Linked DNA regions of Mus musculus: all the other regions are reported to be linked to region 2. The links are microRNA targets in miRTarBase. Many come from high-throughput screens and were not tested one by one. Region 2 holds a microRNA gene; each other region holds the end of a gene's coding sequence.

What was found. Region 2 holds the annotated microRNA mmu-miR-136-5p (ACUCCAUUUGUUUUGAUGAUGG, at 1,781-1,802, opposite strand). A microRNA usually pairs through its seed, bases 2 to 8, with sites in the 3' UTR of a target mRNA and lowers its output. Matches are read on the target gene's strand: a 7mer-m8 pairs with bases 2 to 8, a 7mer-A1 pairs with bases 2 to 7 and ends in A, and an 8mer does both.
Region 1: miRTarBase lists Galnt7 as a target of mmu-miR-136-5p. The part of its 3' UTR that is shown has no 7-base or 8-base seed match.
Region 3: miRTarBase lists Smarca4 as a target of mmu-miR-136-5p. The part of its 3' UTR that is shown has no 7-base or 8-base seed match.
Region 4: miRTarBase lists Mindy2 as a target of mmu-miR-136-5p. Seed matches in the 3' UTR shown: 7mer-m8 at 950-956.

Annotation. Positions count from the first base shown.
Region 1 is chr8:57,523,495-57,526,613 of GRCm38, forward strand. It overlaps Galnt7 (polypeptide N-acetylgalactosaminyltransferase 7), which reads right to left. Exons shown (of 12, transcript NM_144731.4): 12 at 331-2,757. The coding sequence ends at 2,620. Among named protein-coding and RNA genes, the nearest start is that of Hmgb2, 13 kb to the left of the region's middle.
Region 2 is chr12:109,594,014-109,597,132 of GRCm38, reverse strand. Mir136 (microRNA 136) reads right to left here and starts at 1,806; the gene lies at 1,745-1,806. It overlaps Rtl1 (retrotransposon Gaglike 1), which reads left to right. Exons shown (of 2, transcript NM_184109.2): 2 at 1,645-3,119. The coding sequence starts at 1,730. It overlaps Mir434 (microRNA 434), which reads right to left and starts at 2,627; the gene lies at 2,534-2,627. Mir432 (microRNA 432) reads right to left here and starts at 2,177; the gene lies at 2,103-2,177. It also overlaps Mir3071.
Region 3 is chr9:21,702,571-21,705,689 of GRCm38, forward strand. It overlaps Smarca4 (SWI/SNF related, matrix associated, actin dependent regulator of chromatin, subfamily a, member 4), which reads left to right. Exons shown (of 34, transcript NM_001174078.1): 34 at 366-1,660. The coding sequence ends at 398. Among named protein-coding and RNA genes, the nearest start is that of Gm26511, 19 kb to the right of the region's middle.
Region 4 is chr9:70,602,453-70,605,571 of GRCm38, reverse strand. Mindy2 (MINDY lysine 48 deubiquitinase 2) reads left to right here. Exons shown (of 9, transcript NM_172772.2): 9 at 283-3,119. The coding sequence ends at 411. Among named protein-coding and RNA genes, the nearest start is that of Mindy2, 53 kb to the left of the region's middle.

The DNA.
Region 1 (3,119 bases), not on the chromosome of region 2:
AACTAGACGAAGGCTCACAACTATCTGTACAGCTATAGTGTATATTCATATACATAAAATAAATCATTAAAAAAAAAGAAAATCTGTTTCCATTCTACAGGTGGACACAAATACATACAGTAGAATTCTAAACAACACTCAGGCACACACTCTAATAACTATAGTTTGCATTATTTCAGCTATCAACCCTAAATAAACCCTGTAAATGAAAAGCCTGGCTAATTTTTTTCCTTGTGGGTAATCTGGATATTTATTTTTGGCTCTTGCTCTTCTTAAAAACCCGAGTAAGTGTGCAATTATATATAGAAATAATTACAAGCACTGAAAAGCTATGGATTAAAATACAATATTTTATTTTTCCTCACCTAAAAAACAAGCAACCCAGAATTAAGTTATACATAAGCTTCTTGAGTTTACCCTAATAAAATTTTGAATATTTGTACAATTTCTACAGAAACATACAGTGTATCAAAATCTGCATAAATCAAATTTATAAAATGTGTAGAAATGCATAGTGATATTATCAACTTACAAAGCAAGGCGATGGGGATTATTTCCAAAGCAGCCTGAAGTACAAAATAGTCATTATGGTGGCAGCTTCTGATACTTTCATGTGTGGAAAGGTTTCTGATTTCAATATATAGAATCATGTTCATATAGTATCCTAACGAATTGTAAAAACAATTTACTTTACCCATAACATGACATGCACAGTTCATGTGCCACCTTAGCCTATGCATAGATACGAGGTTAAAATCTATTTAACATGAAAAATGGTGTCCATTTCTAACACACAAATAATTACCAATTCTCCGAGTTTCCTCTCTACAGTGGATTTATTTGCAATTATATAAGCATATAAATGCATTTCTTCTTTAAATATCCCTAGAGATGAAAGTTTAAATAGTTGATCACAGGTCAGTAGCAAAATACAAATTGACAATTCAAGATTATAAATAAAACTGTTCAGGATGTTGAATTTTTACTGCCCAAATTTGATGAACTAAGGTTGGAAGAAAAATAATTGTATGCTTTTCTTCCAAAAAAAAATTCAGGCTTTTTTTTTCTTCTTTTCCCTAAGCTGTATTTAAAAATATTTCCTTCTGGCAGTAGTTTGTGAATTTCTGTCATCGATACCATGATTACATGATCAAAAATGTTTAACTGGCCCCAGCTCACCACATTGCTTTTCTTTTTCTTTTTTTGGCACTCAATGTAGACATTTTATCTTGGGGGAAGGGGGGTGTAATAAGAGACTTCCTAGAAATTAAAGTTTTCAACATTTGGTTCTCTTAAAGTAGGTATTGTATTAATAAATGTTCAAATTAAATCTTCTTTTCCCTGGGGAATATAAAAAAAATTTATACTTCTTAAAAAAGAAATTAAGGAACCCTACAGAGCTAGCATCTAACTTCGCAGAATGTCGTCCACATTTGTTGATGATTTGTATTCTTAGATAATAAGATCTAAGAATAGAAAATTAGATACTAATTTTCCTAAATTAAAAAGAATGCTCATGGAATTTCCTTTGAATGTAGACAAAGTGTCAGTTTATCTCTGTGCACAGCTTGTGCTTCGAGGTGGTTCTCTAAGGCTTCCATCTCACAAGGGCTTGGGGATTTTTACCTCAGGACCAACCTAAGGCGTCCACACTAGGGCTTTATTGTGTTGTTTCCCTGCCCCTCAACCCCCCTTCAAGTTTCAAACTGAGAATTATGTTTAGTTTTCTATGACTGGTACTGGGGAAAGCAGATGCAAAATGTAGATGGGCAAAAACCAACCCCTCCTTTTAGAAGAAGGACTCCTTTGCTAGCCTAGAAGCTGGTGTGAACAGAGGCCAGGGAGGTAATGCCACAGAATCTTCAAGCCCCACGGAACAGCCTTGAGTTGGGCCCACTGTTGTCCTCGACCCAGCCATACAACATTCCACTTCATAGCCAAGAAATTCTCCTGTGAGTAACAGACGGGTTCCCCAGGTGACATTCATTGTCACCATCATAGAAGTGTCACTAGAAGCTCTCAAACAATATACTGAGAAATGAAAGAGGCACTAAATGTGTTGAAATTCACCTTTCAAACAGCAGCGTAACTGAAGGAAGGCCACCCTGGCCAACGACCCGTGGCAGTGCTTCCGAAAGATGTAAAATTAAATACACAGCAGGTTGATCATCACCAAGTCGGATGTGAAAGTCTGCTTACTCCAACCTTTTTTTTTTTTCAAGTGTGTTAAAAAACAAGAACAACATCATCAACAACAAAAAAAACCAAACTGCCTTCCAGACCCCTGAGTGTATTCCCAAAGAAGACAACACATGCTTTAACTCGGCGGTTCAGGAAACCGAGTTAAAGGCACAAATTACCAACATCATCATAAAACAAAACAAAAAACGATGTAAACATCTAGAGTTTAAGGTAAGAGCAGTTTTGTAAACAGTCACTGCAGATGATAATGTTATTGTAAAATCACAGTTTATCAATGCCCCTTCCAACTGATCAGAGAGGTTCCAGGTTTGGAGCTGTACAAAATTAGTAATAATGGTTGCAGCAGGTTCCAGGCGGTTTTCAGTCCTCCATAAATGTACTTGTCAGTAGGTAGATTGTTGGTTTCCTCTGTTCTTGTCAAACACTGTGGATGTTATTCATCTCCCACTTCTGAGTCATTTTACTGGAGTCACAGGTGGAGATGAACACTTGATGCAGGACCTCCGATCGATCTAAGCACTTTCCGGAAGTGATGTGCGTAAACCTGTGCAGGCTCTGCAAAACACAGTGAGCCAAAGTAAGGTTTTTTTGTTTTTAAGATTTATTTATTTATGTATTTTATGCGTATGAGTACACTATTGCACTCTTCAGACCCACCAGAAGAGGGCATCACATTCCATTACAGATGGACGTGAGCCACCATGGGATTTGAACTCAGGACCTCTGGAAGACCAGTCAGTGCTCTTAACCACTGAGCCATCTCTCCAGCCCAAAAGTAAATGTTAAATGTGGATTCTGTTACCTCCAATAGGAAGACAGGGCATCAAGTGAAGGGATGGGGTTGCCATCCCACAGTCAAAACTCTGACCCAGAATTGTTTCTGTCTAAAAGAACTGCAAGGACAAAATTGGAGAGGA
Region 2 (3,119 bases):
AGCCAGGAGTTTTTTTTTTTTTTTTTTTTTTTTTTTGGTAAGTTTACATGTCAGACATGTTTATATAAAAGGTTTGGATTTAATATTGCCGACAGTAAATAAACAGTGAGAGGCTTTAATCAGAGGGGTTGCATGATCGAATTTAAGTGTCATGCTAACAAGGAGATGTCTAATTCTGAGAAACTGCAGACCCAAAAGCATCCTGCTGCAAGGTTTGGAGGATGGCCAACGGGAGTTTTACATGAATGACAACATGGGAGATTTCTGTTTATTTGGTTTTGTGTGTGTATGTGTGTGTGTTTCTGTTTTTGGATAGGTCAGCCCAGTGACCTTAAAAAAGAAAATTGAGAAGTAACAGAAGGTGCAGAATTCATAAAGACAATAGCTATATGGCTGAGCTATTGAATAACTAGCTTAATTTGTTTTGCAAACCAATACATCCCTTTAAATTCAATTTCCGTGCACTAAACCCTCCATGGCTAGATTTTCAAAAATTACGGAACAATCAGATTTCAAAGGTCCCATGCCCCCCCTTTCACCCAACTTCATACCTCTGTTAGATATACCCCTGTACCAGACGAAATCAACAGTGACAGAAAAGGGGGGGGGGGCACTTTTGAGAACGAAAACCCTGCTCCTGCCGAAGCAGAGGAGAAACTTGGAAAGATAGCATTTGTGAGACGTGCAGAAATGTTTGCATGAGCAGAATTGAGGCCAGATGTTTAAAGCTGCAGGAGCCCTGCAGACCAGGCAATCCTGGGAGAACAGTTTTTTTGAAAGCCCGGGAAAGGGTGTTTAGAAAGCTCCGACTCAGCTCAGAGCTGGAGAAAACGTGGCTTTGGACAGAGATCAAACCGAACAAGAGAAATGATACTATCCCTCCCCCACCCCCCTCTTATCCTGCATATGCACAAAGTGTGACCTAGGATGAAGCCATGAAAGTGCATGTTTTCAGCACATAGTAGGCATTTTATAAACATTTATGGGGAGCAAAATTAAAACCAAAAGCCATGGCTCTCTCTCACTTATTTCGGCTTGGAGCCTAGAGGAGGAAATAAGAGCTATTTTTGGCTGTTGACCCAACTGGCAGGATAGTGGCCAAGTGCCCAATTTCTCCTCTTTCCCCAGTTTGTGAAATAGCAGGCATCTCCCTGCAGATTCCCGCCTCCAACCAAGCTCACTGGGCTGGCTCTAGACCACCAAGCCTGCCAGCAGCCGCTTTGAGTGGCATTGAGATGTGACCTTTATGACTTTTGGGTGACTACAAATGGGAAGGGAACCTGGCCAGGGCAAAGCGGGCCAGAAGTGTGCCCTGCCAGGTGCTAGCTCGCCACAGAGGACGCTCCAGGCCAGTTGCTCCACAAAATTTATGGGCTGTGAATTTCTCATTCCACTAGAGGAAGTAGGCAGGTGGGGTAGTCAGACTCCGCCTGGAAGGCAGGTCAGGGGGTGACGGTCTTTCCCCTGGAGGTGCCCCAAGTAACCAGAAAAGGAGGCTGAACTGAATGCAGGAGGAATTTCTCCATTTTCTCTCTGATTCTAGTAACTTGGCATCTGCTTTGTCCTTGAGATAGAATCTGACCCTGCCATCTTGAGAACCTAAATTGCTACATTTTCTCCTGTCTTTTATCCCTCTGTCCCTAGGTTTTGGTCTCCACAGTTGCGGTCTCTGACCACACACATCACAATCTTACCAGTCTTCAGAGCACACTCCTTTCCAACCGACGACATGATAGAACCCTCTGAAGACTCATTTGAGACGATGATGGAGCTTAAGAATCCATCATCAAAACAAATGGAGTCCTCCGAGGGCTCATCCAACACCGTTGAAGAGACACCAGGCAGCAGTGGAGCCCAGGCGGGGGCCCAGGCAGGGGCCCAGGCGGAGGCCCAGGCGGAGACCCAGGTGGAGGCCCAGGCGGAGGCTCAGGCTGAAGCCCAGGTTGAGGCCCAGGTTGAGGCCCAGGCGGGCTCAGATAGTGGCCCAGCCCAGGAAGAAAAGGAGCCACCCAGTGGCCCCCTCAAGGAAATGCAAGAGCTGCCCACTAATCTACTCCAAGAAGTGGAGGAGCCATCCAGTGGCCCCCACCAGGAAATGCAAGAGCTGCCCACTGATCTACTCCAAGAAGTGGAGGAGCCATCCAGTGGCCCCCACCAGGAAATGCAAGAGCTACCCACTGATCTACTCCGGGAAGTGGAGGAGCCATCCAGTGGCCCCTACCAGGAAATGCAAGAGCTACCCACTGATCTACTCCGGGAAGTGGAGGAGCCATCCAGTGGCCCCTACCAGGAAATGCAAGAGCTACCCACTGATCTACTCCGGGAAGTGGAGGAGCCATCCAGTGGCCCCTACCAGGAAATGCAAGAGCTACCCACTGATCTACTCCGGGAAGTGGAGGAGCCATCCAGTGGCCCCTACCAGGAAATGCAAGAGCTACCCACTGATCTACTCCGGGAAGTGGAGGAGCCATCCAGCGACCCCTGTGAGGCATCATCTAACGATCTACCCCAAGACATGGAGGAATCAAGTGATGATGGTTCGAACCAGGAGTCGAGTGATGGTTCAAACCACGAATTAAGTAATGGTTCAAACCATGAGTCGAGCTTTGGTTCAAACCCAGAGTCGAGCGATGTTTCCAACCTGGAGTCAAGCGGTGGTTCAAACCAGGAGTCCAGCGATGGTTCACAAAAGGAGTCAAGCTATGATTCAAACCCGGAGTTAAGTGATAATTCAAACCAGGAGTTAAGCGATAATTCGAACCAGGAGTCAAGCGACAGTTCAAACCAGTCAAGTGATATTTCAAACCAGGAAGGGTCGGAACCACTCAGTGAGGCATCCGATTATAGCATGGATGAAACAATCAACTCATCCGAGACCCAGTCAGACCAAGATGATACTGACCTGGGAGATGACGAGGAAGAGGAGGAAGAGGAAGGTGGTGAAGAGGAAGGTCAGCCCAAGAACTCTCCAGAAGAAGTCGTGGCCACCATGGGGAACGTCATCTCGCTGTTCCTCCGGATGCAAGACCTAAAAGAACAACAGAGAGTGGCAGAAAGGCTCATGATGCAGGCTATCAACGAAGGTCGCCTGCCCTCCCTCAGGCCCTTCTCTGGAGATC
Region 3 (3,119 bases), not on the chromosome of region 2:
GGTCCAAGTTTTGATGCAGTTTTCTTTTTTTTTTTTTCAAAGATTCATTTATTTATTTATTATATGTAAGTATACTGTAGCTGTCTTCAGACACTCCAGAAGAGGGAGTCAGATCTCGTTAAGGATGGTTGTGAGCCACTATGTGGTTGCTGGGATTTGAACCCAGGACCTTTGGAAGAGTAATCAGTGCTCTTAACTGCTGAGTCGTCTTGCCAGCCTCCTTGATGCAGTTTTTTTTTTTTTGCCACAGTAAGATAATTTATCCCTTAAGGATCTAGGCCCTTCCACAGCATTGAGAACACCATGGACAAGGGAGAGTGCCTAGGCCGCAGCCTACTCACAAACTATTCCCCCTGTTCTTTCAGGACCGCTCAGGAAGTGGCAGTGAGGAAGACTGAACCAGACATTCCTGAGTCCTGACCCCGAGGCGCTCGTCCCAGCCAAGATGGAGTAGCCCTTAGCAGTGATGGGTAGCACCAGATGTAGTTTCGAACTTGGAGAACTGTACACATGCAATCTTCCACATTTTTAGGCAGAGAAGTATAGGCCTGTCTGTCGGCCCTGGCCTGGCCTCGAGTCTCTACCAGCATTAACTGTCTAGAGAGGGGACCTCCTGGGAGCACCATCCACCTCCCCAGGCCCCAGTCACTGTAGCTCAGTGGATGCATGCGCGTGCCGGCCGCTCCTTGTACTGTATCTTACTGGACAGGGCCAGCTCTCCAGGAGGCTCACAGGCCCAGCGGGTATGTCAGTGTCACTGGAGTCAGACAGTAATAAATTAAAGCAATGACAAGCCACCACTGGCTCCCTGGACTCCTTGCTGTCAGCAGTGGCTCCGGGGCCACAGAGAAGAAAGAAAGACTTTTAGGAACTGGGTCTAACTTATGGGCAAAGTACTTGCCTTGCCAGGTGTATGGGTTTTGCATTCCCATCACCCACACACCCTAAACAAGCCAAGTCAGTGAGCTTCAAGTTAGAGCCTCCACCTCAATGTGTACGTGGAAAGCAATCAAAGATGATGCCTAGCATCCACCTCTGGCCCTCATGTGCAGATGTACACACACTGAATTACATACACGGGACACACACATCCACACGGAGGCAGTCCATGACTTGCACTGGGGAGATGGTACCATAGGCGAAAGTGCCACAGGCACAGGGCCAGGCTAATTTAGTCCTGCAGTCCTGTGCTCTTAAGATGAAGGCACAAAGAGGAACCCCAGGCGCTCCAACTAGCATGCCAGGCAGTGACAAGACCCTGCTTCAAATGAATCAGAGCCCACATTCAGTATTGCCCTCTTACCCGATGCGATGCCCATGCCCTCACATATGAATGTGTATATATACATACATACGTAAAATAATTCTTTTTTAAATTATAGACATTTTTGTGTGAATGTTTTGCCTGAATGTGTGTGTGTGTGTGTGTGTGTGTGTGTGTGTGTGTGTGTGTGTATCAAGTACATTCCTAGAGCCTACAGAGGTCAAGGGAGGGCATTGGATCTGGAACTGGAGTCACATGAGGCTGTGAGCAACTGTGTGGGTTCCTGGGCCTTTGCAACAGCAGTTAGTACTCTTCACCACTGAGCCATTTCTCCAATCTCAAAAAGAAGCATTCTTTTAAATGAAGACTGAAATAAATAAGTAGGACTTGCCTTGGTTCTGTGCCTATAAGCCCCAGTTCTGCCTGCAGCCCTTTTGCCCTCCAGTTCTCCATTACCGCTCAGTCTTTGGCCATCCGTAGCTACCAGCTGCCTTGGGAGCCACAGTTGTGTGACAGCTCTAAGGCGAAAGGGGAAGTGTTGTACTCCAAGAGAAGTGTTGTACTCCACTCCAGTGGTGGAAGTTTGTCCCAAGGTCTTACAGCTCTGAAGAGAAAGGTCTCCTGGAAGTCTAGAGCCAAGGAATACCACAGAGACACACTGTACAACAAACCCCACAGGAGACTTCCCAGGAGGGAAAGATCCGAGAGTGTGGCAGCAGAGGCAAAGATCTCCGATTTCAAGGCCTGTATAGTGAATTCCAAGATTCATAGGGTTCATAGGCCCTGTCTCAAAATAACAAAAAATTTGTTCTGGGGCCAGGCATATAGTATACACCTTTAATCCCAGGAGGCAAAAGCTGGTGGATTTATTCATTTCTTTATTTTCGGTTTTTCAAGGTAGAGTTTCTCTTGTGTAGCCATGGCTGTCCTGGAACTCTGTGGAGACCAGTAGGCCTTGAACTCACAGAGATCACCTGCCTCTGCCTCTCAAGTGCTGGGATTAAAGTTCTACCAAGGCTGCTTTATATTGTTATGAGACAGTTTCACGTAGGCCAGGGTGACCTTAAACTTGGTATGGAGGTGCAGCTTGCTGTTAACTCATGATGATCCCAAATGCTGAGATTGCAGGCCTGTACCACCTAGCTAGTGCTCTTGAATTTATCTTCCAAGGCCAACCTGGTCTACAGAGTAAGTTTCAAGACAGCCTGGGCTATACAAGAAGGGAATACAGAGAAGCTGTCTTGGGGGAAAAATTAAAGAGTTCTAGGAGTCAGGCGGTGGTGGCGCACACCTTTAATCCCAGCACTTGGGTGGCAGAGGCAGGCAGATTTCTGAGTTCGAGGACAGCCAGGGCTACTCAGAGAAACCCTGTCTCAAAAAAACAAGAAAAAAAAAAAAAAAAAAAAAAAAGAGTTCTAGGGACTGGAGAGCAGTTAAGAGCACTGGGTACTCTTCCAGAGGATCTAAGTTCAATTCCCAGCACCCACACACAGGCTCACAACCATTTGTTCCTCCAGTCCTAGGAGGTTCAGTGCCCACTTCTTGCCTCGGGGTACTGCATGCATATAGCCCACAAGATATACATAGCAAAGCACATAAACTAAACATGAGTTCTACAGTCAGGCGGAGTGATGCATGCTTCCAGTCCCTGCAGGGGTGGGAAGATCTCTGCATTCAATAGTAGCTTAGTGTACATAGCAAGTACTGCATGATGAGAACTTGTCTCCAAATTCAAAAAAGTGTCCTGGGGACCAGAGAGCTAGCCTAGCAGTTACAGGTACTTGCTGCCAAGCCTGACAGGCTGAGTTTGCTTTGCAGAGTCCAGGTGGAGGAAGGAGAGATTCCACTCCCTCAG
Region 4 (3,119 bases), not on the chromosome of region 2:
ATTTCCGTCCTTCCCATCAGAAAGCAGCAGCAGACCCAAGGCAGGAAGGTGAACCAGGTAGGCCTCTTCTCTAAGATGCCCAAACCTCCCACAGCAACAGGCCAGCTGTGGACCATGGTCATCTCTTATCCTAATCCTAACACCTGTGAGCAGAAGCCGTGCCCTTGTGCCCACAAAGCGTCTGTTTCTGTAAGGATGCCTTTGTCTCTGTGGCTCTAGCTAGCTAGCTCTGATTCAGTGCCCAGGAACAGTCACCCCTTCCCATTTGTGTTTCTCATACAGCAGGGCCAGCCAGCACAAGCCTCTCCATCAAGTATAAAACAGCCTGGGAATAGTGAACGGAAACGCAAGGAACCTCGGGAAAAAGACAAAGAGAAAGAAAAGGAAAAAAATAGCTGTGTGATTTTGTAGGGAATGCTGACGTCTGTGGGAACCACCTATGCAGATGACGGAAAGGAAGACCCAGTCCCTACCGTCTGTGCCTGATCTCCCAATGGATTTTGCTCATGTTTTCCAGGGGAAGGTTGTTACTTTGTTACAATCAGCTTTTTCAAGTTACACCATACACTCTCTATGAGCTGGAGTTTTATGTTACAGGTCGGAACTGGTGTGTGTTGTCACTGTAGCCAAATGAGAATATCACTCCTATTTTGTGTCTAGTGACATTGCAACTCCAATCAGTTAGTAAGCTATTGTGTTCTGTGTGACAATGGATGGAGGTCACTGAATAAGTTTGATCCTTCTCAAGATGTAATTGTTAGCACAACTATTTCTGAAACTTTACATTGTTAAATTATATCCTAATCCATGAGGAACGAGGACTTTAATATAGGGGAGGGGGAGAGAGCAGGAATGCTGACCCTTCATTGTATATTGAACTGGTTCAGCCCTTGGACAGCTTTACCTTTCTTTAGTAATGTACATTTTAGCTACTACCTTGAGAACTGATAATGGAGCTTGGATCCAATTTAGATAGAAAAAATATTTTTTATTTTCAAATAGCAAAAAAAAAAAAAAAAATACATTGACACTAATACTTATAACCTATCCAGATGAGATACTGACTTTGTAGTGCTGTGAGATGTTGAAAAACTTCAACCCTTTCAGAACCTGAGCGGTGGCTTCTGGTTGATGAGCATGTGGTACATGCGTGAGGAGAAGTCCACACTCAGGCTCAGCCTTGTACATATGAGGACAGAGAAGAGCAGCGTTCACTGTCTACCTTTTTCTAGAATTACCTTGAACCTTAAATTTTAAATCATGTTTATTGCTAGAAAATTAAACATAGTTATTTAAACCAATAAAAAGCACATTTCTGAAGGAGAGTTAATCTCTTGACTCTAATGAAAAGATATTAATAAAATTCTAAATGTAGGTAGGAGTCTAAAGGAATTTATGTAAAAGCAATCAGATTTTTTAACTTATGAGAACCAAATAAACCTAAGACATCTTACATCATTTCTAGGATTCTGAAAGAATATTTACTCAGCTTTGTGATGAGGCAGCACATATTGTATTTCTAGATACGATTTGGAAAACTATCCTTAACATGCTTTTTTATATACTTTGTATTTAGAGTTTGTTTCGGTCATTTTTGAAGATTATTGACAGTGCACGTAGCTGTGTGATTTATCCTAAACCTCAGTAAAGTTTATTCCGGAGCATCACAGATTGAACATCAGTTAGAGAAGAGTCCTTGGGGTCTGGAGGCAATTAAAGACTACCAAAAGAAAATAGTGGAGAGTTTAGGACTATTGTCATTGATGTTTTCCATGATCCCAAACCAGCTGTAGGCTGAATATATATGTAAAAAGTAGAGTTTTATTTATGAAAAGTATTGTTCTAAGATGGAAAAACCCTTCAGGGCCATGCTGTATCCTTTTTACCCTTCTATATGACATGTCTGTTTATGTCCTTTGTGGTTTCTTCAGATTTTCTATACTAGCGTGGGAACTAATCAGGGAACCTGCCTGGGGTATAAAATTTGTGTATAAAATACCTGGTAAGTAAGTCTCTTGATTCCAACCTCGAGTGAGTACGAATGGTCAGAGATCAGACCGTTGGGTGGACTGACCTCACCTCAGCATAAACACCATGACTGTGCTCTGCTGATAGAGGAGAAAGCTCAAACCTCAGTGTGTACTTTCCCAGAACAGTCTAATATTTTAATTTAGGAAACAATAAACCTTGAGTAATTATAAAAAGTATGCTTGAGGCATATTTTTCCATAATTATATTATCATGTTATTGCCCTTGAAGAATCTATATATAAAAGTTACGTTATTTTTTACTATCTTATTTTTTCCAAAGTAATACTGCCAATACTGCACTCCAAAAAGAAAAGAACAAAACGAAAAAACACACACAACTCACTGAAAACCATCAGCATTGCTGTCAGAGAGTCAGTGTGCAGAGATCAGCCAAGCACTGTGCTTGTTAATCCTGCCTGCTCTGATGTGGCAAGAGTCATATCAAACTTACTATGATGTTTGATTACTGTGGAAGAGATTAAATGTTTGACTCTATTAAAACAAATTTCTGAAATATGCTTTCCTGTCCTTGAAGGCTTGTCAAGGTTCTAAACTGCCATGTATTTATTTCCTATGTTTTACTCAAGGTAGCAAGTGATATTCAAGCATATTATTGCTTATTTGGGTAAATAGGACTTTGAAAATGGTATTTTCAGGGATTTTTCCCTTACAATACTTTGTAATACTTGACATTGTTATACATATATTGCTAACAAATGTTACAATTTAAACATTTTGGAGCTTAATGATTCTAGGCTAAATTTCAGGCACATTTGACTCATGCAGGAGAGCTAGCAGAAGGCAGGCAGAGGAGCAGATGTGGTCCCTGGCACTCTTCCTACTTTCAGAGCCTACTCTTAAGGTTAGTGACCAGTCTGTTATTAATGTGCACTTCTCACTGGTGTCAATAGCGCTGTGACCTGTGCTAGTTTATCAGTACCTAGAATCATGTGTTTCTGAAGTAGGTTTCCAGGACTTCTGTTTAGGTGTCAAAGCAACCTGAAAACTATCAGATAGAAAAGTTGTGAATATTTAAAAATATTCACACACACACCTACCTGCACTAGGAGTATCACCAAGTGGTACAGC